3 linked regions of the Lonchura striata genome follow. The protein of the gene in region 3 purifies or fractionates together with the protein of the main gene of each other region. This does not show direct contact. Links are inferred from orthologs where the notes say so. Each region holds a gene or a part of one and is shown on either strand. Other genes may lie near its edges.

Region 1 (9,308 bases), on a different chromosome or scaffold from region 3:
GTTCTGGGATGTCCCCAAGGTGTAGGGGTGTCCCCAAGGGGGAGGGTGTCCCCAAGTGTCCCCAGGGGAGAGGGGTGTCCCCAAGGTTCTGGGATGTCCCCAAGGTGTAGGGGTGTCCCCAAGGGGGAGGGTGTCCCCAAGTGTCCCCAGGGGAGAGGGGTGTCCCCAAGGTTCTGGGGTGTCCCCAAGGGGGAGGGTGTCCCTAAGGTGGTGAGGTGTCCCCAAGGGAGAGGGGTGTCCCCAAGGTTCTGGGGTGTCCCCGAGGGAAGGGTGTCCCTAAGGAGCAGGGTGTCCCTTAGGTGACGGGGTGTCCCCAAGGGAAGGGTGTCCCCAAGGGAAGGGTGTCCCCAAGGAGCAGGTGTCCCTAAGGTGACGGGGTGTCCCCAAGGTTCTGGGGTGTCCCCGAGGGAAGGGTGTCCCCAAGGAGCAGGGGGTCTATACGAGGGGTGGCCCAGGTCCCCATGGGCTGCGGGGACACCCCTTGGTGGCCCCAGGGGGGTGGGGTCCCCTTGCGAGGGGGGTCCCCAGCCCCTGAGGCCGCCCCCCCGCAGGACCCCCGTGGTGAGGCACTACCGGGTGAGGAGGGACGAGCAGGGCTACGCCATCGACATGGAGACCCCGGTGAGGGACACGGGCTGGCCCTGGCGACAGGGACCCCCACCCCGGCCACCCCCGAGCCCCCCGGCTCACCCCGGGCACCGTGTGGGCACCAAGGGTGGGCAGCCCCCGGGAATCCCGCGAGCACCCAAGGGTGGGACCAAGGGGTCCCCAGGGGGCTGGGGCTCAAGGAACTGGGACCCCCAAAGAAGGGACAGGGACCCCCAGCTTTGGGATCCCTGGGAACCCCCACGAGACTGGGACACCCCAAGGGGCTGCAGCCCAGCGGGTGGGACCCCCCGGGCAGGGTCTGGGGGTGCCGGGGATCCCGGTGACCCGGGGCTGTCCCGGTGTCCCGGGCTGTCCCGGTGTCCCGGGGGTGTCCCGGTGTCCCGGGGCTGTCCCGGTGTCCCTGGGGTGTCCCGGTGTCCCGGGCTGTCCCGGTGTCCCGGGCTGTCCCGGTGTCCCGGGGGTGTCCCGGTGTCCCGGGGCTGTCCCGGTGTCCCGGGGCTGTCCCGGTGTCCCTGGGGTGTCCCGGTGTCCCGGGCTGTCCCGGTGAGGCGGGGCTGTCCCGGTGTCCCGGGGCTGTCCCGGTGACCCGGAGGTGTCCCGGTGTCCCGGGCTGTCCCGGTGACCCGGGGCTGTCCCGGTGACCCGGAGGTGTCCCCGGTGACCCGGGGCTGTCCCGGTGTCCCGGGCTGTCCCAATGACCCGGGCTGTCCCGGTGTCCCGGGGCTGTCCCGGTGTCCCGGGCTGTCCCAATGACCCGGGCTGTCCCGGTGTCCCGGGCTGTCCCAATGACCCGGGCTGTCCCGGTGTCCCGGGCTGTCCCGGTGTTCCGGGCTGTCCCGGTGTCCCGGGGCTGTCCCGGTGTTCCGGGCTGTCCCGGTGTCCCGGGGCTGTCCCGGTGACCCGGGGTTCCCCAGCTGCGCTGCTCGGCGCTGCCGGAGCTGCTGCGGATCCTGGTGCGGAGCAGCCGGGGCAGCCTGCGGCCCCTGGAGCGGGGTGGGCACCGGGCGGGGGGCTCGGGGGGCTGGGGGGGCACCGGGGCTTGGGGAGTACCGGGCTGGGGGGCTCCGAGGGAGATCAGAGGGGTCTGAGGGGTCTCAGATGGGTGTGGGGGGGCTCGGAGGGGTCTGGGGGTGGTCAGAGGGGTCTGGGGGCTCGGGAGGGTCTGGGGGTCTCAAAGGGGTCTGGGGGGCCTCGGAGGGGTCTGGGGGGGCTCAGAGGAGGCTCAGAGGGGTCTGGGGGTGCTCAGGGGGGTCTGGGGGCTCAGAGGAGGCTCAGAGGGGTCTGGGGACGCTCGGGGGGGGTCTGGGGGCTCTCGGGGGGTCTGGGGGAGCTCGGGGGAGTCTGGGGGGCTCAGAGGGGTCTGGGGGTGCTCGGGGGGTCTGGGGACGCTCGGGGGGGGTCTGGGGGTGCTCGGGGGGTCTGGGGGAGCTCGGGGGAGTCTGGGGGGCTCAGAGGGGTCTGGGGGTGCTCGGGGGGGTCTGGGGGCTCAGAGGAGGCTCAGAGGGGTCTGGGGGCGCTCGGGGGGGTCTGGGGGCGCTCGGGGGGTCTGGGGGTGTCGCCTGCAGACGGAGGGTCTGTGACCCCCCCCCGCCCCGCTGCAGAGTCGGTGCCGATGGACGGGAGCCCCCCCCCGCTCAGAGCGGCCCTGAGGAGGGGGCGGCCGGCCCTGAGGAGGGGCAGAGCCCCCCCCGGCTCGGGGCCGGTGCCCGGGGAGCGGATCCGCGTGAACGAGCCCGGTGAGGCCGCCCGGGACTGCGGGGAGGGAACGGGAGGGGAGGGGAGGGGAGGGGAGGGGAGGGGAGGGGAGGGGAGGGGAGGGGAGGGGAGGGGAGGGGAGGGGAGGGGAGGGGAGGGGAGGGGAGGGGAGGGGAGGGGAGGGGAGGGAAGGGAACACCCCCACCCCGAGCCCTGACCCCCCCCGGCCCCGCTGCCACCCCCCAGCACAGCGAGGGGACACCAAGGGGACACACAGGGGACACGGGGGGTGGCAGCAGGGGGACACCGGGTCCTGCCAGCGGCTCGGGGGGCAGAGGGGAGGAGCGGGGGGCTCCTGGGGGGCTCAGAGGGGTCTCAGAGGGGTCTGGGGGGATCAGAGGGGTCTGGGGGGGGCTCAGAGGGGTCTGGGGGGATCAGAGAGGTCTGGGGGGGCTCAGAGGAGGCTCAGAGGGGTCTCAGAGGGTTCCAGGGGTCTCAGAGGGTTCCTGGGGGTTCCTGGGGGTTCCGGGGGGTTCCTGGGGGCAGGGGGATCCTCTGCCAGGCGCTCACAGCTCCATCCCCCCGCACAGCGAGTACCCAGGAGCTGCTCCGGGAGCTGCCCGAGAAGCTGCAGCTGCGCCAGGCTCAGTGATGGGCAACTCTGGGGGTGCCCGCTGCCCCCCACTCTGTGCCAGCAGCCAGCAGGACCCCCCCTCACCCTCAGGAAAACTGTCCCCAGTGTCCCCCGGCCTGTGGTGGCACCGGGGAGGGAACCCCCCTCACGTTTTGGGGGGGCACTGTAAATAAAGAACCCTGTGCCCACCCAGCCCCTTCCTGCTCCTGGCACCACGGGGGTGTCACAGGAACCCCAAAGTGCCCCCTGGCACCACGGGGGTGTCACAGGAACCCCAAAGTGCCCCCTGTGCCCCCAGCACGGCCGGGTCACACCCACATCCCGATTTATTCTCCGGGGGGGCACGGAGTGGGGAGGGGGGGGTGAAATTGTGATTTTTGGAGCTCACTGAACCAAATGAATCGAGCGTTTCAATTTTAGTTTGTGGAATTCTGCGTTGAATTTTTACCTTCTGCCCGAGCAACCTTTTGCCACGGTACAAAGGGAGCAGGAAAATGCGAATTTGGGAAGATTCTCGCCTAAAGGGCGATGGCAGCGGAGGCAAAGAGGCAGATAAAGAAGCTCCTCTGCCTCCGAGCTTATCGAGAATGACCGAGCTACTGAGATAAACACACAAAAAGGAGAAAAGCTCAGGAGTTTAATCAGGAAAATACCAAAAATACCAAATCTTCAGCCTGAGACCACAGCAAACCCCCCAAACTGCCCAGACGGGCGTGGACCCATTTAGGACAGGGGTTGAATATATGGAATATAATATGTATTTATTGACGTGGAACATCTTTGTGAATGAAGTGCGGCTCACACCGAGGCTGGGGCACAAATCTTGGAGGAATATCTCACTGTGCCAACGTGCCCACTCCAGAAACGCACCAGCTTGTGGAGTTTTTATTTAATTTATTTATTTATTTGTGTGTTTATTTATTTATTTATCCCGCGGGTGCCGAGATTTATTTCACTTCACAAGGAACAGGGTCAGTGTTTGTGGTCCTGGCCCTGTGGCCCTGGAGCCCGAATCAAAAAATTTGGATTTTTTGAGGGCAGCAGCCTCCCCAAAAATTCCAAAATGGCAAAAAAAAAACCGGTCCAGACCGGGTCCGGTGCTGCCGGTCCTGCTCCGGCTGGGTTTGGGCTCCCCCAGCCCGGTCCCGGTCCCGGTTCGGTTTCCCCCAGCCCAGGTCGGTGCCGGGTTCATGAACCCCAGCCCGGCCCCAGTCGGGTCCCGGTCCCGGTCCCGGTTCCGGGTCCCGGTCCCGGTCCCGGTCACGGTCCCGATCCCGGTTCCTGGTCCCGGTCCCGATCCCCGGTCCCGGCCCTCGGTCCCCGGTCCCCGGTCCTGGTCCCAGCTCCTGATCCCGGTCCCGGTCCTAGCCCTCGGTCCCCGGTCCCGGTCCCGGTCCTGGTCCCGGTCCCTATCCCCGATCCCTATCACGGTCCCGGTCCCGGTCCCAGGTCCCCGATCCCGATCCCGGTCCCGATCCCGATTCCAGCCCCCGGTCCCCGATCCCGGTCCCGATCCCGATCCCGGTCCCGGCCCCGCGCCCCGCCCACTCCCGGAGGCTCCGCCCACCACCGCTCGCAAAGCCCTCTGGGTAATGGAGTCTCCTTTTAAGGGCGCGCAAAGCCGCTCCAGGACTACACTTCCCAGAAGACTTTGCGGCGGGGGCAGCAGACAGCGCCGCCTGCTGGCTCGGAGCGGGAGCGCGGCCATCGCTGCGCTGGGTCGGGGGGGGACACGGGGGGACAGCGACCGGGAACCGGGGACACCGACAGGGGACCGGGGACACCGACAGGGGACCGGGGACACCGACAGGGGACCGGGGACAGCGGGGACACGAACGGAGCGCCAGCACCGCCGTGGGCTGCGGGCAGCGTGGGCAACACGGCTCAGGAGGACGCGGCCGCGGGAAACTGAGGCACGGCGCGGGCGCGTCCCGCGACCCCCGGAGGTTCACGCGCCGCTCCGGCCCCGCAGCTGCGGGACCGGGGGGGCCCGGGTGAGGTGACCCCGCCGTGCCAAGCCCCGGGACAGCGGGAGCGCGTCCCCGCGGGCCCGGGCCGTGTCCCCGGCAGGTGGCGGCCGCGGAGCGCGGAGCTCCCCGCGTGTCCCCGTTTCCCCGCTCCGAGCGCGCCGACCCCTCCCGCCCCCGGCTGCCGGTCCCGGTGCACGGACCGAGCCGCCCCCGCGCGCCGCCGCGGGCATTGCCGCCCCCCGGTGCAACCCCCGCTCCACCGACGGACCCCCGGTGCAGCCCCCGCTGTACGGACCGTTCCGCCGCCCACCGAGCGACCCCCGCTGCCGCCCCGGTGCACTGACCGAACCCCGATCAAGGAACAACCCCCGGTGCACGGACCGAGCCCCCGGTACAGCCCCAACTCCACGCACTAAAACCCCGGTGCAGCCCCCGACCCCCGGTGCAGCTCCGGTCCCACGGACCGACTCCCGCCGTGCAGACCCCCATGCACGAACCGACCTCAGGGACCGACACCCGGTGCAGCTCCCGGTCCCACAGATCACCCCCCGGTGCACCGACCGACCACCGTTGCAGGTCCCGGTGCAAGGAACGACCCCCGGAGCGGGTCCCGGTGCAGCCCCCCGGTGCAAGGAACGACCCCCGGTGCAACTCCCGGTGCAAGGAACGACCCCCGGAGCGGATCCCGGTCCCACGGACCGACCCCGGCCCCCGGTTCCCCCCCGGTTCCCCCCCGGTTCCCCCCCGGTTCCCCCCCGGTTCCCCCCCGGTTCCCCCCCGGTTCCCCCGTTCCCGGCCGGTCCCACGCCCGTCCCGGGGGGGCGCAGTTTCAGGGCGGGGTTTCCCCCACGCTCCCCCCCCCCTCCGTTTCACCCCCACGTGGGCCCCGCCGGCGGCGCCCAATCAGCGCCTCGCCCGTGGGCGGCTCCGCGCGGCGCAGCCAATGGGCGAGGCGGGGGCGCCGCGCGAGGCCCCGCCCTCCGGCGGGAGGCTATAAAAGGCGGCGCCGGGCGCGGCCGGCGTTCAGAGCGATCGTGCTGGAGCGGCGGCGGGAGCGGAGCGGGACCGGGGATCGCGATAGCGCCGCGATATCTCCGCGATATCCCCGCGATAGCCGCGCTCGGGATTATTGCTCTTGGAGTTTGCTTTCTTCTTCTGCGGATTACAATTGCACCATGACCCTGGAGGAGCTGGTGCCTTGCGACAGCAGCAAGTAAGTGGCGGCGGCTCGCGGCGTTCGGCGGGGGGGTCTGCGGTTGTCGCCGCCGCCGCTCACCGGCTCCGTCGTTCCTCCCGGCAGGATGCAGGCGGTGAGCGAGGCGGTGGAGCGGGTGCTGGTGGCGGCGCAGCGTCAGGACCGCCTCACCGTGGGGGTCTACGAGTCGGCCAAGCTGATGAATGTGTGAGTATCGCGACAGGGCTCTGTCGGGGGGTCTGTCGGGGGGTGGCTCATCTCGGCCCGCTTAGAAAAGCTGGCTCTTGCTAGGAGCTTTTATGGGGTGGTGACCAGGCAGAATATGGGGGATCTGTCCCCCACTCAGTGCGACAGGGAGGTGACACGCGTGGGGGGGTGACAGCTCCGTGGGACGGGGTTCTAACTCGCCGCGGCCCCGCAGGGACCCCGACAGCGTGGTGCTGTGCGTGCTGGCCACCGACGAGGAGGACGAAGGCGACATCGCCCTGCAGATCCACTTCACGCTGATCCAGGCGTTCTGCTGCGACAACGACATCCACATCCTGCGCGTGTCGGGCATGCAGCGCCTCGCTGCCATCCTGGGCGAGCCCGAGCCCGGCTCCGAGCCCCGCGACCTGCACTGCCTCCTGGTCACGGTGAGCGCGGCGGGGACGCGCCCGGTGCCCCCGTGCCTCGGTCGGGGAGGGTGGCGGGGCGGCTCGGGGACGCGCGTCGGGGCGCTGGTGGCACTAACATCGTTCTCCTGCTTCTCCAGAACCCGCACACGGACGCCTGGAAGAGTCAGGGGCTGGCGGAGGTGGCGAGTTACTGCGCCGAGAGTCGCGACAGGAACCAGTGGGTGCCTTACGTGTGTCTGCAGGAGCGCTGAGCCCTTCCCGGGCTGGACTTGGAGGATTAAAAACATTAAAAAAAAAATAAAAACCCAACACAAAACAACAGGGGAAAAAAAAAAAGGGAAGAAGAAACAGCCAGTTCCAAGCCACAATCCCCAAAACCCACCGATTTTATTTTTCTTTTGGACCGGAGAGGAGGAGGAAAGGGGAGCGCGGCCGCTGCGGTGGGAATGGAGGAAACCGTGCCGAGCCCGGAGGGGGACGCTGGCCGGAGCCCGGGTGGACACTGGCCGGAGCTCCGGTGGACACTGGACACGGGCACTGGCCGGAGCCCGGGTGGACACTGGACACTGGCCGGAGCTCCGGTGGACACTGGACACGGGCACTGGCCGGAGCTGCCGGCCGAGGAGCCGTGCTGGACCGGGAACCGGAGCCGAGTGAGCCCCGGGCGGGCGCTGCGGAGCGCGGGGGGGTGACCCCGGAGTTGGACATCGTCGCGATTTTTGGGCAGCTGGGACCCGATGGAGGCGAGGAGTGCAGAAATCTGGATTTTTAAAAATTTTTCTTTTGGTGCAAAAACTGCTTTTTTCAAGGAATTATGGACGTCCGCACAGATGGACCTGCACCTCCCGAGTGCTGCTTTTGCACTTGGAGACCCTGAGCTGAACTTTTTCCAGAGTTTATTCTTCTACTGAGCGAGGAACTAAATTTATTTGCAATAAAATGTCTGACGTTAGTGGTGTTTGCTCTTCCCTGCGCTCTGCTGGAGCCGTTCCCAAGGGAGCGGGATCGGCGCCTCCTGGGTGGGTTTTGGGGTGGGCTACACCTCCCCTAAGGGCTCTGCACGCTTTTGGGGGGGGCCTTTTGTAGGGCCGGGGGTTCCCACCCGTGTGTGGCCTCTCTGCTGCTGCTGGAGGAGAAATTCCCACCCCACCCTTCTCTGAAAAAGGGGTTTTTTCCAAGAAAAACACCCACGAGGTGCCCTGAGCTCCGTGGGAAGCTGAGCACGGGCTCCCCCCGGGCTCGGGGCTGGAGTTTTCCCCCACCCGCGCGGAAACCGCGGCCGTGGGAAGCGGCCCCGGGGCTGCCCGCGGGGGTGGGGGCACCCCGGGGAGTCCCCGCGCCCCCATCCCCTCCCCCGGCCGCGGTGGGGGAGTTCCCTCCGTCCTCCGGGGGTGGGGACAAGGACAACCCCGAGGGCTCCGGGGAAACTGAGGCCGGTGCGGTCGGGGCTGGGTGGGAAATGGGGACCCGCGGGGGCTCCCCGGGACACGCGTGGGGGGCTTGGCGGAGCGGCTGCGGCTCCCCTGAGCTGGCCGTGCCCCGTGTCACCCGCGCGGTGTCACACGGGGTGAGCGGGAGCGGTGCCAGCCCCGGCACGGAGCCCGGCCGGGACACGGCGACCGGCCAGCCCCGGTCTGGGGACGCCGTGGCCGGCCCCGAGTGTGGCGCGGCTCGGGGACGCGCCCTGCGCCCTCCTTTGGGGTTTTGACTGCGGGGGAAACTGAGGCACGGTGCGTGACAGCCACCGCAGCGCCACCCCGCCGTGTCCCGGCGGTCCCAAGGGACAAGGGGGTGACAGCACCACAGCACCCTCTGGGTGGCCCAAACCGCGACCCCCCCGAGGTCCCCCAGCTGTGGGGTGGGGGGGGCGCGATGGGGTCGCGCTGTTCCCCGGGATCCTCCCGGGAAAATCCCGCAGGGAAAGGGCCCGAGGGCGGCTGAGGCCGCCGCAACTCGTTTCACTGATGAGGCAGCGCGGTCACGAGGCCATTCCTGTCGCCGCTGTCACCGCGGCCGTGCCGCTCGTGTGACCGGTGTGTCAGGCCGCCGCTGTGTCACGGGGCCGGGAGGGGTGACCGTCCCCCCCAGACCTCCCCTGTGCCCCCCAGACCCCCCAAAATCTCCCTTCCCACCCGCAGGAGCAGCCCCCCCCCCCCCCCCCCAGCCGGGTCACGCACATGCCACCCCCCCCACGGTGTCCCCGTGTCCCCTCCAGGGACACCCCGAGTCACCCCAAACTGCAGCCGGGGCCCAGAAACCCCCACAGACACCCCCCCCCCATGGACCCCAAACCCACGGAGCCCCAAAAGTCCCCCCAGCCGGGGTGGGGACAATGGGACGGGACCGCGCTGGCTCGGGGATCCCGGCCGGGCTCTGACCCAACTTTGCACCCCTCGGAGCCGGCCCGGACACGGGGGGAGGTTTGGGGGTTCGGGGAGGGGTCCCTCACTCACCCCCACCCCCCCAGCGCCGGGAAAAGGAATCCAGGGCTGGGAATGGGGGTCCTGGGGGGACCCCCCCCATCACCACCGCGGGATAATTCAACCCTGGGTGATAATTAGGTCATTAATAATGAATTAGGAGGTCGC
Region 2 (9,672 bases), on a different chromosome or scaffold from region 3:
GAGGGCTTCGGCCTCTGCCCTGTGTGGCTCATGGAGTGTCCCAGCGCTGCTGGCCCCGCGGCTGCTCCCTCGGATAAGGACACAAAGGAGCGGGGAGCTGCCGGGCTGGCAGCTCTGATAAGGCACCGCAGGGAGGGCAGTCCCCAGGCTGGTGGCATTGCAGGCATCCCAACCTGCCCATGGCACAAGTTTGTGGTCAAGGTCATCGGATAACAGAATGGTTTGGGCTGGAAGGGACCATAAAAATCATCTTGTTCCGAACAATCTTAATTCTAATTAGAAAATTCTGCATATAGGGGGAAAAAACTTGTGTGTTTTCTCAAGAAAAATAAGTCACCCTTGTTACAGGCTCATGTTAAAGCATTGGCCTGACAGGTGCTGCTTCAGCATGTGGGGCAGCTCCTCATCCCCCCGTGGCAGGTGGAAAGCAGTGTCACAGTGCCACGGTGACACCCAGGGAGCCCCCAGCCCTGCTCTGCCCCACGGGACATTGCTGCTCCATGAGAACAGGCAGGAAGCAGCTCCCTGTGCTGCTGCATTTTTTCTGCTTGTTTGTCACCTCTAATTCCTGCTAAAGAGCTTCTGGGCCTGGGGCACAACCCCCACATGCCCCCAGGGCTCCCTCGCTCTCTGCATCACTGGACAGGTTTGGTGTGGAGATGCCATCAGGATGGGCTGTCCTGAGCTCCATCCTCTCCACGGGATGTTTTCTCAGCCTTTTCCCTCTGGTTTTGCAGCCCAAGTGGCTCCCTGGGATGTTGGTGGCTCCCAGCCTGCGGCCCCACAGCGGAGCGGGGGGTTCAGCACAGACAGAGCCCAACCCCACGTCAGGATCCCGTGGCTAGAGGCTGGGCTCACCGTTCTCTTTTTCCTCGCTGCAAAACCACGCTGAAATTCAAAACCAAACGCGTTTTTCCTGCCGGGGCTCCCGGTGCCGGCCCCGCTGCGGCCGCCAGAGAGCACCAGAGCGACGGCGGCCCGTCCTGAGCCCTTCCCTTCCCTTCCCTTCCCTTCCCTTCCCTTCCCTTCCCTTCCCTTCCCTTCCCTTCCCTTCCCTTCCCTTCCCTTCCCTTCCCTTCCCTTCCCTTCCCTTCCCTTCCCTTCCCTTCCCTTCCCTTCCCTTCCCTGTCCCTGAGCAGGGACTGAACCCAGGCAAGGCTGCTCCAAACCTCATCCTTGGGCACTGCCAGGGATCCAGGGATCCAGGGGCAGCCAAAGCTGCTCTGGGAATTCCATCCCAGGGAACAATTCCCAATTCCCAATGTCCCATCCATCCCTGCCCTCTGGCAGTGAAGCCATTCCCTGTGTCCTGTCCCTCCATCCTTGTCCCCAGCCCCTCTCCAGCTCTCCTGGAGCCCCTCCAGGCCCTGCCAGGGGCTCTGAGCTCTCCCTGGATCCTTCTCCTCTCCAGGGGAACATTCCCAGGGGCTCTGAGCTCTCCCTGGATCCTTCTCCTCTCCAAGGGAACATTCCCAGGGGCTCTGAGCTCTCCCTGGATCCTTCTCCTCTCCAGGGGAACATTCCCAGGGGCTCTGAGCTCTCCCTGGATCCTTCTCCTCTCCAGGGGAACATTCCCAGGGGCTCTGAGCTCTCCCTGGATCCTTCTCCTCTCCAGGGGAACATTCCCAGGGGCTCTGAGCTCTCCCTGGATCCTTCTCCTCTCCAGGGGAACATTCCCAGGGGCTCTGAGCTCTCCCTGGATCCTTCTCCTCTCCAGGGAGCCCCCCCAGCTCTCCCAGCCTGGCTCCAGAGGGGCTCCAGCCCTGCAGCAGCTCTGGGGGTTCCTCTGGGCTCTCTCCAGCAGCTCCAGGTCCTGCTGATGTTGGACCCCAGAGCTGGAGACAGCTCTGAAATAGGGCTTCATAGGCATTATATACATTTTATATTATTTATTTTAATTTATATATTTAAATCTGCTCCCAAATAAACGCCTCGGTTTCATTATCTCTACTGCAACAGCCACCAAACCCTGGTCTTCACTCCACGCTCCTTCCTCTTTGCTTTCCAATCACTCTTCCCACTCCATTTATAGGAGACAAAATGAATCCAGATTAATGATTTAACATCCCTGCCCCGAGCTCCCCGCTGCCCGCAGGAGCATCAGTGAAGGTCGCTGTGGCTGGAGGCTGAACCACCCCCGTTCCCGGATCCCACGGGCACGCCTGGGGGCTGGTTTGGGGAGGGTCCGGCCCTCCCAGTGCTCACACCGGAGCTCTCCTGCGGGCCCGGGGAAAGCCAAGCGCCCGGGAACAGGGAATTCCCTGCGGGAGGCAGCACCGGGCCGGGGGGTGTTGGCAGCACGGCACAGGAAAGTGTTCCCACGTGGAAGCGCCACTGGTGCGCTGCTTTATGGCCCCACGCTGCCAAGAAATGGAAAAAGTTTGTTTTCACTTCAGCGCGGCTCTCTCTGTCCCCGGGCTGGACTTCGCCCGGCGCTGCCCGGCCGGGTGGTTCCCACCCGGGCTGCCACGCGTGCCCGGCATGGCCAGGCTGGGAAAAACGCCTGATTCTGCAGGGAGAAGGGGTGGAGGGTGCATGCAGGGCAGAGGGAACGTCCCTGCCAGGAGCAGCACAGCCTTCTGCTGCCCTGAACCCACAGGCACGAGGAGCTGAGCAGGGACTTGCTGGGCTGGGGAAGGAAAAGATATTCCAGCAGGAAGTCTCCTTCAGCAGAAGGAAAAGACATTTCAGATATTTACCCAGGGTGGTGGGACATGGGTGAGCCATGAAATCACAGAATCCTGGGGTGGTTTGGGCTGAAAGGGACCTTAGACCTCCTCCAGTCCCACTCCCTTGGGGAGCAGGCAGGGACACCTTCCCCTGTCCCAGGCTGCTCCAAGCCCTGTCCAAGCTGGCTTCGAGCACTTCCAGGAACGGAGCAGCCACAGCTGCCAGGGTCTCACCACCCTCCCGGCCAAGAATTTCCTCCTGATCTCCAATCTCCATCTCCTCTCCTTCAGTTTAAAGCCACTGGAGCACTCCCAGGCTCCCACTCGTGCTCGCTGTTTGCAGAGCTCCTGCCGCAGCCAGGGAGAGCCGGCTCCCTCTCGGCGACCTTCCAGCACCACGGCGGGCTGCAGGAATGTGCTGAGTGCGGGATAAACACATCCCAGATCCCCGGCGCCCCAGCCCCCTGCCCTCCCACCTCTGCGGGAGCTGAGCCCCGCTCAGGAGCCCGCAAAGGGGCTGGGGCCAGGCAGGAGGAGAATGCCCGTGCCGGGGAGCTGCCAGCCCTGCTCCGTGCCGGGGAGCTGCCAGCCCTGCTCCGTGCTGGGGAAGTGCCAGCCCTGCTCCGTGCCGGGGAGGTGCCAGCCCTGCTCCGTGCCAGGGAGGTGCCAGCCCTGCTCCGTGCCGGGGAACTGCCAGCCCTGCTCCGTGCTGGGGAAGTGCCAGTCCTGCTCCGTGCCGGGGAAGTGCCAGTCCTGCTCCGTGCCAGGGAAGTGCCAGCCCTGCTCCGTGCCGGGGAAGTGCCAGCCCTGCTCCGTGCCGGGGAAGTGCCAGCCCTGCTCCGTGCCGGGGAGCTGCCAGCCCTGCTCCGTGCTGGGGAAGTGCCAGTCCTGCTCCGTGCCGGGGAGGTGCCAGCCCTGCTCCGTGCCACCGAGCCGGGCTCTCGGCTGCACTCCCATGACCTGGGTGGTTGAGAAAGCTGCCGGCACCGTGCCCAGCTCCAGAGCCAAGGCCAGGCGGGCCCGGGCTTCCCTTCCCGCTGTGCCGTGAGCTCCCGGGCTGCCCAAAGCCAAACCCCGAGCAGCAGCAGGGGTGGCTGCAGCTGAACCCCGCTTTGAGCTCCAGCAGGGGTGGGGGGACTCCCAGGAAAACGGGGGGAATGTCTTCTTGTCCTTGTGCTGCCGGTGCTGGAGAGGATGTGGCACTGATGGTGCCAGGGCGGGTGGATCCTGGGGCACTCCCAGGCTCCTGCCCTGCTCCACGGGGAGGCCAAGCCGAGGTTCCCTGGCTGCCAGAGCCCGGGGATCCGCTCCTGCACGGCTCCGGGGCGGGATGCCCCGCTCTGGGAAGGTGGATGTGCCTGGGCACCGCAGGTCAGCTCGGTGACACGGAACTGGTGGCACCGGGGACACGGCGGCTCCCGGAGCAGAGGCCGTCCCTGGAATGTGCAAGCTGGCGTTTGCTCTGCATCCAGCGGATCCAGAGGCACTGGGAACGCTCGGTGGCCCTGGCACAGCAGCCTGGGGTGCCCAGGGGTGTCCCAGCAAACGGGCACAGCGAGATTTCCCACAGCAGCCAAGGGGCTGGACAAAGGTCCCACCTGGGACAGGACAAAGCAGGGAAACGAGGGAGGGGGATCGGGGGCACCCCAAGGAGGGACAGCAGGAGCCAAGGGAACGGGAGCAGCATCCCGGCACTGTTCCAGGGGCTCAGGGCCGGGACCACCCCGAGGCACCCCCGGGAAGGGCCTGGCCGGCTGCCGGGGCTCCGGAGGGATGGGGCTCTGTCACCTCTCACTGCCGCTGTTTGACGGCTGGTCTCCTTCCCAAAATCTGAAATTAAACAAGCTGATGCTCTGAGGTGCGGGAAGCGCCTCTGCAGCTGGTCCAGACGTCCTCCCCCACCGGGGGCTCCAGTGGGCATCTCCCACATCCCTGGGGTTAACCCATTGCTGTCCAAGCCGCCTCCGAGCTCGGGCAGCTCAGCCCCGCAGCCCAGAGAACATTCGGGGTGAGGCTCTGCCGAGTGGGGGGAAGAGCTGAGCCCCTCGGCGGAGCCTGAGCCCCACACGGCTCCCGACCCCCGACTCTGCCACGCCGAAGGAGGGGAGGGCAGGCCCGGCCTAGAGAATGATGAAAGTCGGGATTAAAGGGCAGGGGGGGAGACAAACACCGCGGCCGCTTTTGGCAGGCGATGAAAGGAGGTTCAGCAGCAGCTGCCAGCTGGGAGCTGACGGAGGGACAACAGCTCCATCCCGGGCTGCCCGGGCCGGCGGCCACGGCACATCCCGGCACGGCCAGCGCTGTCCCCGCGCACCCCGCAGCCCGCATCCCGCATCCTCGGGAAACGGGAGAACGGGAGACGGCGGGAGAGCCGCGGGGCCAGCGCGGGTTCAGAGCGCTGCCCGCCGCCCCCGGGAGGGGAAAAGAGCCTTCAGCTGCTTCCCAGCTGCCTCCCAGACAGATTTAGCTCTGGGGCCGGCACAGATGGGGCTGCGGAGGCACAGGCGGAGCCCGCAGTTGCTAATAGAGATACAGCAAATTAAGCGCACTTAATTCGGAGGGTCACCGCACAATGCTCCCACCTGTTTTGCTGCGGTCCGGCCATCTGCCGCCCCTCCACCTGATGCAAAAAGGGCTTTTCTCCCTTTCCCCCACACCGGCTCTCACCAGGCTGCGGCAGCAGGGCAGGGTAGAGCCGGGCCGGGGGGACAGAACAAAGCCCTGGGAGGTTTTCCTCCCGGAGCCAGCACAGCCGGGGGGCGCAGAAATCACCCTCATTATTCTGCTGCAGAAACGCTTTGATATGCCCCTGAAGTGTTCCAGATTGGGCAGGACTTGGAGCAAGATGGGGGGGTGGAACAAAACCATCCCTGGGGTTCCTTCCAGCCCAAACCACTCCAGGATTCTGTGATACCTCATTTCCCAGAGGGGGATTCTGTGATATCTCATTTCCCTCAGGGGTTCTGCAGGAGCTGCATGGATCTGGCATCGCTCTGCACCTTGTGCTGTGGAAACGGCTCCTGGAGCTCAGGAGCTGCAGGAAAACACCGGCACAAGCCAAACTTTAAAGCACACGCTGCCAAATCTCCGTAAGGGACCACCAAGGGTCCTGACTGCAGCCGTGGGGCCGGTGGGAATGTGCCAGCCCACAGCCAGGTTGGGAAAGAGCTCTGGCAGCGGCTGTGGGAGGATGGAGGGGTTTGGGTGCAGCAGCTGAGAAAGCTTTGACACAGCAGCCACCAGGAGAAATCCTGCCCGGAGGTCTCGGGGCTGACACGGGACATCTGGAGCAGGAGCAGCTTCCCGGACAAGCACCAAGTTCTTGGAAAGCTGCAAAGGGAGAGATCGCAGAACCACAGGCTGGGTTGGGTTGGGAGAGATCTTAAAGATCACCCAGTGCCACCCCTGCCGTGGCAGGGACACCTCCCACTGTCCCAGGCTGCTCCAGCCTGTCCAGCCTGGCCTGGGCACTGCCAGGGATCCAGGGGCAGCAGCGTGGCTGCCTGTGGCAAACACAGAAGGAGAAGGATCCAGGGAGAGCTCAGAGCCCCTGGGAATGTTCCCCTGGAGAGGAGAAGGATCCAGGGAGAGCTCAGAGCCCCTGGGAATGTTCCCCTGGAGAGGAGAAGGATCCAGGGAGAGCTCAGAGCCCCTGGGAATGTTCCCCTGGAGAGGAGAAGGATCCAGGGAGAGCTCAGAGCCCCTGGGAATGTTCCCCTGGAGAGGAGAAGGATCCAGGGAGAGCTCAGAGCCCCTGGGAATGTTCCCCTGGAGAGGAGAAGGATCCAGGGAGAGCTCAGAGCCCCTGGGAATGTTCCCCTGGAGAGGAGAAGGATCCAGGGAGAGCTCAGATCCCGTTCCCATTCCCGATCCTGTTCCCGTTCCCATTCCCGATCCCGATCTCATTCCCATTCCCGTTCCCATTCCCGATCCCGGCCAGGCCCGGCCGGACCCGGCACGCAATGGGCGTGGTCTAATTTGCATGAACCAATGGGCGCTGGTTATGCAAACGAAGGGGCGGGGCCGGGCGCCGGGCGGGGCGGCGCGCGCGGGGCGCCTTTGTCCGGCACGGGCGGCGGGGCCGGAGCGGCCGCAGCGGCCGGAGCGCGGTGTCCGCCAGCCCCTGTCCACCCCAGCCCCTGTCCACCCCAGCCCCTGTCCACCCCAGCCCCTGGCCGCCCCAGCCCCGTGATGACCCTGGAGGAGCTGCCCGGGGAGCGCCGCGCCGCCGGGAGGTGAGGCCGGGGGGCGGCGGGGGCCGGGCGGGGAGCGGCGCGGGGTGGCCGGTGACGGCCGGTGCCGCGTGTCCCGGCGCAGGATGGAGCAGGCGGGGGACGCGCTCGAGGAGGTGCTGAGCAAGGCGCTGAGCCAGCGGAGCCTGACCCTCGGCGTCTACGAGGCGGCCAAGCTGCTCAACGTGTGAGTGCCCCCCCCGTCCCCGTCCTCCCCCCGGTGCGCCCTGCCCGGTGCGCCCGCGGTGACGGCGCTGCCCCGCAGGGACCCCGATAACGTGGTGCTGTGCCTGCTGGCGGCCGAGGAGGAGGAGGCGGGGGACGCGGCGCTGCAGATCCACTTCACGCTGCTGCGGGCCTTCTGCTGCGAGAACGACATCAACATCCTGCGCGTCAGCAACCCGGCGCGCCTGGCCGAGCTGCTGCTGCCCGCCGCGGGCCCCGACCCGCCCGCCGACCTGCACTGCGTGCTCGTCACGGTGAGCCCGGGCTGCCCCCGCGGGCTCCCCGCCGCCGCTCGGGACCCCCGAGCCGCCGCGCCCGGGGCTCGAACCCGCGGCCCCGGGGCGGCGCGGGGTCCCGCGGTGCCTCCGCCGCCCTCGCCCCCGTTCGCCGCTGTGCCCCGGCTCCTCCTTTGTTCCTCGCCTCTTTCCCCTGTTCCGTCTTTTCTTTCCTTTGCTTTCCTCCTTTCCCTCTTTATTTTTCCCTTTTTCTTTCCCTCCCTTCCCCCACTTTTATCTCTCCCTCCTGGTTTTTTCTCCCTCCCCCCTTCCCTCCTCTGCCCCAGAGTCCAAAGCTAAAGCTCCTGACGCGCTCCCAGGCCCGACTTGTTTGTTTGCCTCGCCAGCAATTTGAGATGATTCACACTCCTGCGCTTCCCCCCCAGCCCCCGCCCGCCGCTCTGGGCTTGTTTTTGCTGCCGTGCCGGAGCTTTGTTTTTTTTTTTAATTTGTTTTTTTGCCGTCCCCTTTGCAGAACCCGCAGGCGTCGCAGTGGAAGGACCCGGCGCTGAGCCAGCTGATGTGTTTCTGCCGGGAGAGCCGGTACCTGGACCAGTGGGTGCCGGTCATCAACCTCCCGGAGCGGTGACCCCGGCCCGGCCGCTGCGGCGCCGCAGAAATTCTCGCTCAGGAAGGAACTCCCTGCCCCCGGCTCCGGGAGGGAAAATAAAAACCCGACAGCAACAACGAAACGTAGATGTAAAACAATAACGCTAAAACTGATGTCACTTGCGGGGGGTTTGGCTGCGGTGGAGCGATGCCGAGTGTGGCAGATGAGGAGAACAGGATGAGCCCAGCCCCAACTCCCCTCGCTCCCTCTGTCCTTAAGTGCCACTTCAAGTTCCTGCTTTGAACGCCTTGACGAGCAAACAGGTTCATCGAGGCCTTTTGCCAGCAATGTTGTTGTACTTTTGGGATGTAATTCTCACGTTTTTATGCTAAGATATATAATAATAATAATAATAAGTTATTTTCTGATATCAATGGAAAAAAAATTATTTATACTTGGTGGTTTGAGAACCGAAATGCCCTCAAGCAGTTGGTCTGCAACCATGAATCTTCTCCCAGTTGGCTGCAAAAGCAGCGCCATTAATATAATTGTTTGAAATTCGAGTGTATTTTTGGGGTTATGGTGGTCTTGTTTTGTGTTTTCTTTTTTTTTTTTTTTGAAATAAAGTGTAAAAATCAAACCTTTGGCCCAGGCTTTTATTCCCTCACTGCACGAGGCTGAGCAGTGAGCAGCAGCTGCTTCCTCCTGGCCATGGGCAAGGTCCTGTTGTGCAGCTCCAGTGTGGGTTCATTCCCGGCCCCTCCCAAGCAATTAAAGGCTGAAGCAGCCCGTGTGCTGCAGGAAATGTTGGGAATGTTGTTTATTTATTTATTTAATTTGCTTGAATGCTGCTGCAACAGGCACTAAAAAAAAACCAAAAAAACAAACAAAAAAAATGGAAAAAAAAAAAACAAAAAAACAAAAAAGGGTTTTGCTGATGGGGTTTCCAGCTCCTCCTTGGCAGGTGGAAATCCTGATTCCCTGCTGGAGCAAAACCTGGCCCAGGGTTTCCTGGAGGCCGGGAGGGGAGGCTGGACCTGTTCTCCCACTCCTGGGATGCTCCAGCACCAGGCCACCCTGTCCCTGTCCCCAGCCCAGGTCCCACCCTGTGCCTGGGGCCACTGCAGCAGCAGCAGCAGATTTATTTCTCCAAGCTCAGATTCAATCCAAACCCCTCTGGTTTCTCCCAGTGTCACCCCCAGCCCTGTCCCCACACCACAAAGTGGGGGGTCCTGGGGGAACCTGGCCCAGCACACAAATTCTCATTTTTCTCCCCAAATCACACAAATTCTCATTTTTCTCCCCAGATCAGCCAGCTTGGCCAAGGACAAGAGGGGCAGCCCCATGGTGGGGTCTCACCACGGGTTTCTCCCACTACCTGTGGATGCAATGGTTTCGCTTATTTTTTAAAAAGCTACAAAGGCAGAGCCTGCATTTCCCCAGATTTTACAATCTCTGCTCTTTCTGGGGGTACTGATAGCAAAGAGCAAACCTAACCACTCCAGATTTCGGCGTTTCTTGTATTTTAAAATGGTGAGTTCACCAAAAATCTCGGCATTAAACGCTGCCAGATGTGGGCAGCTGTGCTGGATCACCAGGCAGGAGCCCACATCTGGATCAGCACCCTGCCACGAGCGTCTCTGAAGGGCAGACACCAAAAACGTCCCTGCAGCCCAAAAAAATATTCCAATCTCTTCCCAAATCCCTGGGAAAACAAGGAC
Region 3 (9,736 bases):
CTTTCTGCTGGGATAACACAGCTACTAAAAGGCAAATCTCAGCTGCACAACCAGATAATTTAAAAAAAATATAGTTTGGAACTTTTTTTGGTGCTTTCTGGGATGATGGAAAGAAGAAGCATCACTTTATACATTTTGGTATAAGTAACTAGTCAAACTTGCAAGATGCTTGAAAACGTTGAAAGAGTTGTGTGCAACAGTGCATTGGATTGCACTGTCAGGCACACACAGAAGATAAATAGATATGCTCTGAGCCTACAAGTAGGGTTGCAAAGAATTGGCCCCAGCTCTTCACTGGAGCTTCTTTGAACATGAAATTAATGCAGTGAACACCAATGCAGACAAGCATTTGGTCGTGTTTATAAATGCCCCATGGCTTCTCACTGAGTATGTCTATTATATGCCTGGGGAAAGAATTAAAATATGATTTAGCAGGAACCTAGCAAGCTTAGTCTGTTGTTGATAAGCAAGTTCAAGTAGCATTGAATTCAGTGCAGCTGATTTTCACAGGTCAAAATCAGTTATTGGGAAGATGTAAACTGCTGTAGCCACACTGCTATACATGTGTCAACATTTTCAGTTTCAGATAATTTCTAAGTCTAGTGCCTTGGTATCTTTGAAGAGCAGACAGTGGGTTTAGCTATGCCCAGCTTTATAGACACTGAGCCCAAAGACCAGCTTTGGGCCAGACAGTAAAAGCATACAGCTTTAAGCACAACTGGATTTTGTACTTGTCTCATTTGGGTCATGCTGTTTTAATAATGCAGAGGCAGTGCTACATAGAGTTGCTTTTTAGGACAAGATGTACCTAAAAAAAATAATGTGATGCCCATTTGCAGTGATAAAACAATAATCACAGGAATGTCTCTGACCTCATGCTACTCTTACTAACAAATACTCCTCTAATAGTGGCGAATTAATGGTATTGAGCCCTGTGCAATCCGACATGCAGCCTGTGAGATGACAGTGCTCAGACAGAAATATTCCACCTCCATCAAGTTAGCCAGCTCCTATTATAGCACGGGTGTCAAACCATGCTGCTGAACAAGCTTTGGCAGCTATCGTGCCAGCTTCCCAAGTGAATGAATCACAGCAGTAACGGGTGATTGAACAGGCCTATATACAGTGGGACTCCTTAATTTCTTTCAGCTTCACACTTCAAATCAATTGCAGCAATGCTCAGGTTAGATAACACTGAAAACTGGGTTCTGTTTCTTTCAATGCCACCCCCAACCTGATCTTCTGTGAGAAGAACGAAACTGTATATGGAGGAATCTGCATATGCCCAGGTAGAAATACATCTTGGTATTTTATTTGGACTGTGGAGATGCTAGTTGCAATGTCTACATAAGAAATGGTGTCAGGATGTGTTCTAGATATTAAATGCATGTATTGTTCATGTTTTACTCTTCAATGCATTGCAGAAGAGCATTTCTAACCTATGACCAAGAAAAAATGAATATTCCGTCTTCAGCACATTTTACTAAATCTAGACTAACTATACCTAGCAGACTATTTTCTAATGTCTGATTACCTCTGCTTTTACTTTAAAATAGATTTTATTAGAATTAAAATAAATAACTTATTTGAAGGAAAAACTAATTGTACAAAGCTGGGTTTGTTAAGAATTTGAAATTTTTTTGCATGTAGTTCACACAGTGAAGAAAAATCTGATTATTAGATTTCATTTACTGAGATTTCATTTACATGACTTAAGAAAACCCAAAACCAAGTTGTGCCTTATTCTGTGCAATATTCATAGTGTGAAAAAAATGTTTTGAAGTTTGGCCTTGTGACAGGTACCAGAAGAAAAATTTTCAAATATATTCTTATAATGTATTTATTTACTTAAATGGACCAAATATTTCTTTGTCTAGATTAGGATATTTTGTATAGAGAAAATACCTGGAGAAATGTCAGATGGCAAAAGCACAGCTGCATGTACAACTGTGTCTGATATCTGTGATGACTTGAGGAGGAAGGAACAACAGCATATATGCCCCAGAAATCGACAGAAATTTCAAGGGTACTTGCAGTAGAAATTTGAAAATGCTATTTTAAAGATATATTTTTGTTATTAGGATGCTATTGCCATGTCAAATTTCTATTGCAAATTCTAGGATTGCTACTGTAATAAAAGGCATGTTGCTAGAATAAAAAGTAATTCCTAAGCAATTGCAGCACCTGCTAAATTATAAAGCCAGATGTTTCCTGAAGAAAAAGAAGAAAATTAATTCTAAAACTTCTGAAGACAGAAGTTAAACTGAAATAAACTTGTCTATTTTGACAGTTACTTATTTCCTGGTTTGTTTTTTTAAACTGGAATTTTGGAGTCATGATTTTGCCACATCAGACAATAAAATAAATTCCTAATATTTTAACTCAATTTTATTACAGACAGGTGCTACTTATTGTGATGTGTATTTTAACCTTGTGACTTCTTCTGTTCCAGTAGTAGGACCAGAGAGAACAATTTCATTTATCAATTTCCATGCACCTTTGAAATATTGATTGTTTAGACTCAGAAACTGGTAGTCAGGGAGTCTGAAATACGATGATATTCCTTAAAAGAAGTAAAAAATAATTAAAAATTTTTTGCATATCAATTTTTAAGACCTCTGTGTTGCCTTGAAATTTTTTCTTTGCCGAATATATTCCTATATAGGCTCTTATATCATCTGATGTTCTTCCTGTACCATCACCTCCAAATATTCCTGCATCTCTTAATTTCTTCCCAAGTTCTCTATAAAGCCATTTATAAACTTCTTCTCTTACAATGTTCTCCTTTATGCCAGGAGCTATGTTGCTCACCATGGTCAATTGCAGTTAAAAAAGCATCTCTGTATCAAATTTACAGCCTTGCTTTTCTTGGCCAGTATCTGTAGTTCTATGATATTTTCTGTGATATACCACAAGAATGTGACGAAATGCAATATGCTGGGTTGTCCTAAAGGGGAAGGGGAAAATGTGTACAGGGAAGAGTTTTCTGGACCACCTTGTTTGAGAGGCTGCAGTGAACCACAGTTTACTCCAGTAAATTATCTTAATATTTACAGAAAGTAGTGGCAGTGGTTAGTCCCCATTCCTCCCTTTGCCAAGGGGACCTTGGGATGGCACCGCCTCCACAACAACACATCTATGGCAAAATGCAGTATCAGATTTAATGAAAACTCTGTGCTTCTAAGAGACCACTGTATTGCTTGTTTTAATAGAAAAAGCAAAGAAGCTGAAATGTTTTGCCACGATTGCTAAATACATCTTTGCTCTGCAAACAGCTGCAGAGATGGTGTGAGACAATGGTCCCTAACTGAAAAGAATGTTCAAATTCAAACTGTAACATTGGCTTTTTTTATTTGTGATCATACTAAAAACACATGCATACTGTGAAGTAAGCAGCTTTACCTTAGATAATACATGCTTTTTATGGAGATGACAACTAATTTATTAGCTTAGCACTTTAGAATTTTTGTCCTTCAGCTATGGTTTCTAGGTTTTGTTCACCATGACAGACTAGTGGGACTGTATTGTGTGCATCTGACATTGGAACTGCTTTATGGTTTTGGGCTCAAGTACTCAAGCAAAAATCTTCGACATGATAAATACTGCGTTTTTCCATTACATGAAGAATGTTAACTAATAATTCTTGACATAAATCTTGAATGTCTTGATGTTTCAATATCATGATCATCAGGGTCATGGTGATTTGGGTATCTTTCTTGACATATGGAAAAGTCTAAGTGGCTTCCTGTATAATGACATTTATCTGGTCCTGGATTTTAAAGCGTGAATTCATTAAGATGATAAATAGTAGATACAGTAGAAGTATACCCTGCATTTCAGCTTAAAAAAAATTTCTTTTATTTCAAAAGGACTGTTGAATTTGTTTCCTAAACTTCAACAGAGAGGTGGACAACTTTATTTAATGAACAGTGACTTTACAGCTGAATTTTGGTATCAGACTAGAAAGGTGCAAATTTCTTGAGCTAATGAAGAAACTGGTGCAAAAATGGAGAATCTAGAACTGATTCTAGTCCAAGCTCAAATGTCACCCATCAGAAGTAAGGCGTGTGCTTTGTGTACACATTACTGACCCAAGGTTTGTTGCTGTGCTTCCAGTGCTGTAACACACAGGAGGACACTCCCTCTCACCGACCCTAACAATTAAACGACCCGTGGCACTTTTCTGCCTTTGACGGGAATTAATATTGATATTGATATTCCAGCCAACCTTAAGTTCAGGAAGTCACATTTTCCTCGCTGTATTTCCAGCCGCATAATGTGGCTCTAGTTCTCTGTCCGGGGCTGATAACCAGTGCTGCTGGAGGGTTTAAAAAGTCCAGGATCATAGATTCAAACAAGTTACTCTGTCAGCAGCAGAGTCTAAAAGATAGAAGGTTATTCTTCCATGCATACCCCAAAGGGGCACTAAAGGGTCTTTCACGTCCTCCCCTCCTTGGAGCCGGGCGCGGCCGCTGCAGCCCCCGCAGGCGCTGGGCTTCGGGCCGGCAGGGCTGCAGGCAGCAGCACCTGCTGCAGGAAACCACCTTCCCCTCCGCAGTGAGACTTTTCCTCTCTCGCTGTGTGCCGGCGCTGTGGGAGCGAGCAGCGGCAGGGACGGCGGCACCCGCAGTGAGCGGCCGTAGGCAGCGCCCGGCAGCTCCGTCGCCGGGGCACGGAGGGGACGGCAGCGCCCGCCGCGCCCCCACCGCCGCCCCGCCTCGGGATAGACGCGGCCCCTCGCGGGGAGCGCGGAGATGTAATTCGCACGGTGCGGAGGGAAGCGCCGCTGTCCCACAGCCTGTCCCGACCCCGCGGCGAGCGGCGAAGCCCGCACCGGGAGCCGCCCCTCGTCCGGCCGCGGCGGAGCGGGCGCCTCTGGTGCGGCCGGTCCCTCCTGGCGCGCCGTAGCGATGCTGCCGGCGCCGCTGCCCTCGGAGGCTGTTCCCAAGATGGCGGCCGCGCGGGCGGCTCTGCGCGGCCGCACTCCTGCAGCCGGCTAGGGACCCGCTGCCCTCCTCCTGCTGCTCCTGCTCCGCGCTGCGCCCCCGCACCGCGCACTGGGGCCCGCCGCCATGCCGGCCCCGGTGCATGCATGAGAGACGCCGCCGAGCTGGTTTGCGCCGCCGCCGCCGCCATGGAGGAGCCGCCGCCGCCGCCGCCGGGGAGGTCAGTACCCAGTGCTGCCTCAGCGCCGGCTCCGTGCAGGGAGCGATGCCGGGCGGGGCTGCGAGCGCCGGGGCCGGGGTGCACGCTGTGCCTCCCGGCCCCTCCGCGCTGCTGAACCCGAGGCTGCTGCTGCTTCAGCGCTTCTGCGGAGCGCCACGGAGCGAGACGGTGCTTCGATAAGAAATCTCTAGTGGTTGCGGTGGGTAAGGCAGTGTTTTGTGGACGCTTTGCAATTAAAAGCAAATAGTTTCCTTCTCCCCCAGCCTCGCAGTAGTGCAAGCGGTGTGTAGGGGCAGTGCCCGCCCGGCTCCCGGAGGCTGCGGAGCGGAGCGGGAGCAGCAGCTGGAGCCCGCGGGAGGCGGACGGAGCGTGACCTGTGCTCCTTGACTTGTGAGCTGCAGCGATAAAAGCGCTGCCCTCCTGCGAGGCTGTCTCGTGTTTATGGCAGCCGTGCTTAAGATCGGGTTCTCTTTGGCGTGCCCGTGAAACAGCAGGGTCATGGAGTATCGCTGCTGGCAACGTTGCAATCGATAGTTGTAAGAACATAGGGTTAAAAAAAATCACAAAAAACAAAAAGCGTTCACAAAGAAGTGTTGTGATGCCTCAAAGCTTTCTGCAACTGCTGTCACCTCCTCTACAATTGGCTTTTTGCGAGTCTCCATCTGTGCTCGGCTGAGAGATGGGGATGCAAATTACTTTATGGTTCAGTTTTTCCAGCTGGCTGCAGAAGTATTGCATAAGTCCAAGTTATTAATTCCGTGGCAATTATTTCTCATTTTTAAATAACATCCTGTTGATGCACTTCACTTCTCGCTAGGAGGCATTCAGGAAACCTTTTTAAAACGCTTGTGTGATCAATTAATACTGTAATGTAGTAGTCGGGTGCATTGTGTTCCAGGTGTGCTGTGCAAAATATCTGCTGTGGTGTTGCTGAGATAGTTCTTGAGTATTGTGAACTGTTGTTCTGTACTGATGGAATAAAAGGGAAGTGGTGATGTGCTCCTGTGTGGGTCAAGGCTATGGGGTTGAACAGTGCCTTTGAGTTTTCATGAATGTGCACTAACGATTTGTTTTTCTGTCATGCCAAAATCGGAATATATATAAAATTAGTAAGATTTAACAGAAATATTATGAAATATAAATGCTATAGGGCAACGGAATTAGTAAGGTTCTAAGTTCCTTTTTAAAGGACTCTTCAAATACTAATACTGCAGGTTAAGCAGAAAATGATTTAAAATAAAGTTTGTATAACAGCACGACACTACACCTGAGCTGTCTTCATGCAGAAGAGTAATCTTCAGAGCCTGAATGGAAAACACCCAGGCATTTCCTGTGCAGGGCCATTTCTGACCTCTGCTGGATTCTGCTTATTACAGGACAGTTTATATGAGTCGGATGTGGGTGTGGATAATGTGGTGACAACTTTACCCAGCAAATGAAAATTGAATTAGCTATTTCAGAGTGAGCTGGTAGGTGGGAAGGGGATGTCTCAGAACAATTAGGTAGTCTTAATTTGTGTAGGGTAATGCATGTACTCCATCCACTGTGATTCACTTCTGCGTGTACTTTGTGTCCCAAGTTCACACCTGCTTCTCTGGCTTTATGCAGCACTTGCTTTAACTTAAATGTAATACAAGTAAAATATCTGATTTTCTTTTGGTTCAAATTTTGGAGCCATCATTAGTTGTTTATTCTTGGGGCTGTGAGGTCAGAATCTTGTTGAAATCAGTTTATTTTGCACAGCCTTGGGCGTTTGAAGTCCATTTGATGGCAGATCACTTTTAATCCTGTTTGTAGACTATGAATGTGTTCTTATGATAAAGAGTTCTGGCTGCTACTAAAGTGCATTGCTATAATGCATTCTCTTTAAGTTAACTTTAGTTCTGGTGGAGAAGTATTCAGTCATTCTGAATTAGCAATACACCTACATTTGTTTAATAAACAAAACTTACTGATTTGTTGTTCTGAGACTGCCTGATGTGAGAAATCTGCTTGTCTTTGTGTGAGGAGTCTGTCTCTTGTTAGAATATAAATGCAATGGTAAATTTTGTAACTGAAGGCAAACATAAAATATATATATATATATATATATTTAATTACACAGTCCTTAGTCAAAAGCTTTTGATTATGAATCCCTCTCCAAAAACACTGTGTTTTTCCCAGGTCTTATTTTCATTCTTGAAACACACTTTGGTGGGGGGAGAGAGGGGAGACAGCTCTAAACTGAAAAATGCTCAGGGAAGCTATGAACAAATGTTGATTTTGAGGTAGAATTGCACTTTGACCCTGGATAGCATGCAGTGGTTATGGATAAGTGAAAAGATACTACTGAAAGATTTAGTGAAGAATTCACGTTTAAGTATCAATCCTTAAAACAAGTGGAAAGTTTTCAAGCTAAAATGTTTCCACTTAGATAATTTAGAATGCCAATTAAAACGGATGTGTTTAGTGTTTCTTGACCATTTCCCATAGGCTTTATATTTCTCAAGCCCAATTTTAGGCTTTCCCAAGAATTTTCTGGCACAAAATCCACCGTAGAGAAAAATGAGGCCTTAAGCATGTCCTTTGTTGGGACTCTGTCCTTTGTTTGGGGGCACTGCAAAGGCATGAAGAGACATAGGGCTACCCTGACTTGTGCTTTGATTGCTTGTAGCCCTCTTTTCTCCTAGCACACATCCAGTGCAAGGGGTGAAGGAAGGATCAAGGCTGTGAATAAGGTGGGACAGAATTGTGAATTATGTGGAGGCTTCCTCCTTGCTGGAGAGCTTGTCAGTAGTCTCTCTGCCAGATTTGTTGTCTCTAGGATGACAATGAATTGGGGCTGTCAGTCTGCAGCATCTGTGGTTTGGGGAAAGCCTGAGGTTATGTCATGAATTGTGCTCAACATATTTTCCTGCTTGCCAGACTATCTGTATGGCTGATAGTATATGAGCAGTGAAGGAGCTTATTTTATTAAGATCATAGCTTCAGTGGGAAAAATGATTTAAGTATATAGAGCTTTGCCATAGTTTTTTTTTCTCTCATGCATTTAAATGAAGTGAGATGTAATCTCTATTCTACATGTATTGCATTTTCTTGTTTACATGTGCAAGACTGGAATGAATGACTGATTGCTCCACCTACGCACAAACACACATGAAGTGCTCGTTGAGATGTCTTTGGCATTGGTAGCAGTAAGGATTAGTCTGTGTTGTGTGGCTGCTTGGGTTGTTTTTATGTCTGTTAATTAGTGCTGTCTCTGTCAAGGTTGGTTTTGCTATTATGTAAGCTAGTGATATTGACCTTTGTGGAATGCAAACTGTGCTGTGATGAAAACAAATCTACTGAATTTAAAGGAAAGCATAAGAGATATGCAGTAATTCTTACTTCAGGGAGCTAATTGGGATTTTTAGAGGCTTATAAAGATTTGACTTCCATGACAACCACATTTCTTAAATTGCATACACACCATTATTTTAAACTGCAGCTAAAATACATTTAGAAGACAATTTTTCATAGTACCAACTGCTAGTCAATAGTGTGTTGACCTCTGTCAGCTCAGGAATCTCAGCTCATTTCTTCAGTTGTGTGGTTGGATTTGCTGTTGTCTACAACGTTTATGTTCACAAAACTGTTACTTTCCTTCAGTTTTATTCTTCTCTCAGAGATGTTAACTGCATTGATGCTACATTTAGTCTGTAATTTATTGACTAAATAATTTTTGAATTTTAAAAAATAACTTAGAAGCTTATTTATTTGAAGAGTTGACAGGAGTCCCATGCTCACTCTTGGCTTACTGGAAACATAAAGCCAAATGAAAATCTTTTAACATCTGAATTTGAGTCTTACTGAATTGTCAAATGTTCACTTGTGTCCAGTCCAAGAATGCTGTATGTAAAGTCACATTAATTTATCATGAAACCCTATCAGGTTTATTCTGGAGCCAGACAAGATAGGCTGTAACTATTGTGCTGATGAATGTCTCCTTCAGTCTTAGGGTAGAAGGAGGAAATTAGTTCTGTTCTGTCTGTGTCCTGCTGATATTCAGTGGTACTGAGTACCATGTGTTGCTTTTTAATGTGGTGTGAATATATGGTTTATTATGCCCTCGGCTTACTTGTGCTGCTGGTTTACTTGCTGTTGCTTTTTCTAAGAGCAGTATTTGTAAAGGTTTTGGCATTTTGGCTGTAGAATATCCATTCAGTAAGTGATAACAAGGCCACAGTTACACATGCCTCGATTACTTGGCTTCACTCTCTCCATCGAACTCTCTGTGGGTGTTACCGCTGAGCTTTTGGGATGCTCCAAATAGTGCAGAGGACTGAAGTCCCATTGCATTACATGGATTTTCCAAATGTCACAGAAAAGAAGTCCAGCATGCCATGCTCAGACAGCAGCTTCCATTGAAGACGTATTTAACTTTTAATGCTTCACCTTCAGGGTTCTTGTAGGCTTTGACTTTGTCTAAATGATGAACTGAAACTTTGGGATCATAACCAGTTGTTAGTTTTTTCTTAACTGGGAATGGAACTTTCTGCCAGAAGGGTAGAGTGTGTGTGGGAGAGTGGGGAAGGAATGGCTGTTAAAGTTT

Evidence for each region.
Region 1: the proteins of MAP3K4 (region 3) and GADD45B purify together in Homo sapiens (co-immunoprecipitation; 3 studies listed by BioGRID and IntAct, counting the BioPlex papers as one, with this or other methods). This does not show direct contact. The link is inferred for Lonchura striata from reciprocal best matches to the Homo sapiens genes MAP3K4 and GADD45B.
Region 2: the proteins of MAP3K4 (region 3) and GADD45A purify together in Homo sapiens (co-immunoprecipitation; 3 studies listed by BioGRID and IntAct, with this or other methods). This does not show direct contact. The link is inferred for Lonchura striata from reciprocal best matches to the Homo sapiens genes MAP3K4 and GADD45A.

What each region holds. Positions count from the first base shown.
Region 1 is NC_134630.1:6,069,764-6,079,071, forward strand, and holds GADD45B (growth arrest and DNA damage-inducible protein GADD45 beta), read left to right. Parts: upstream 1-5,943; 5' UTR 5,944-6,083; coding exon 6,084-6,121; intron 6,122-6,208; coding exon 6,209-6,310; intron 6,311-6,524; coding exon 6,525-6,738; intron 6,739-6,857; coding exon 6,858-6,971; 3' UTR 6,972-7,672; downstream 7,673-9,308. Other genes in the region: STAP2 (signal-transducing adaptor protein 2), read left to right, coding at 552-621, 1,524-1,602, 2,211-2,345, 2,895-2,956.
Region 2 is NC_134611.1:5,082,608-5,092,279, reverse strand, and holds GADD45A (growth arrest and DNA damage-inducible protein GADD45 alpha), read left to right. Parts: upstream 1-6,807; 5' UTR 6,808-6,860; coding exon 6,861-6,904; intron 6,905-6,986; coding exon 6,987-7,088; intron 7,089-7,166; coding exon 7,167-7,380; intron 7,381-7,876; coding exon 7,877-7,990; 3' UTR 7,991-8,381; downstream 8,382-9,672. UniProt on the Homo sapiens protein: In T-cells, functions as a regulator of p38 MAPKs by inhibiting p88 phosphorylation and activity.
Region 3 is NC_134605.1:36,156,330-36,166,065, forward strand, and holds the start of MAP3K4 (mitogen-activated protein kinase kinase kinase 4), read left to right. Parts: upstream 1-4,898; 5' UTR 4,899-5,092; coding exon 5,093-5,166; intron 5,167-9,736. UniProt on the Homo sapiens protein: Component of a protein kinase signal transduction cascade. Activates the CSBP2, P38 and JNK MAPK pathways, but not the ERK pathway. Specifically phosphorylates and activates MAP2K4 and MAP2K6.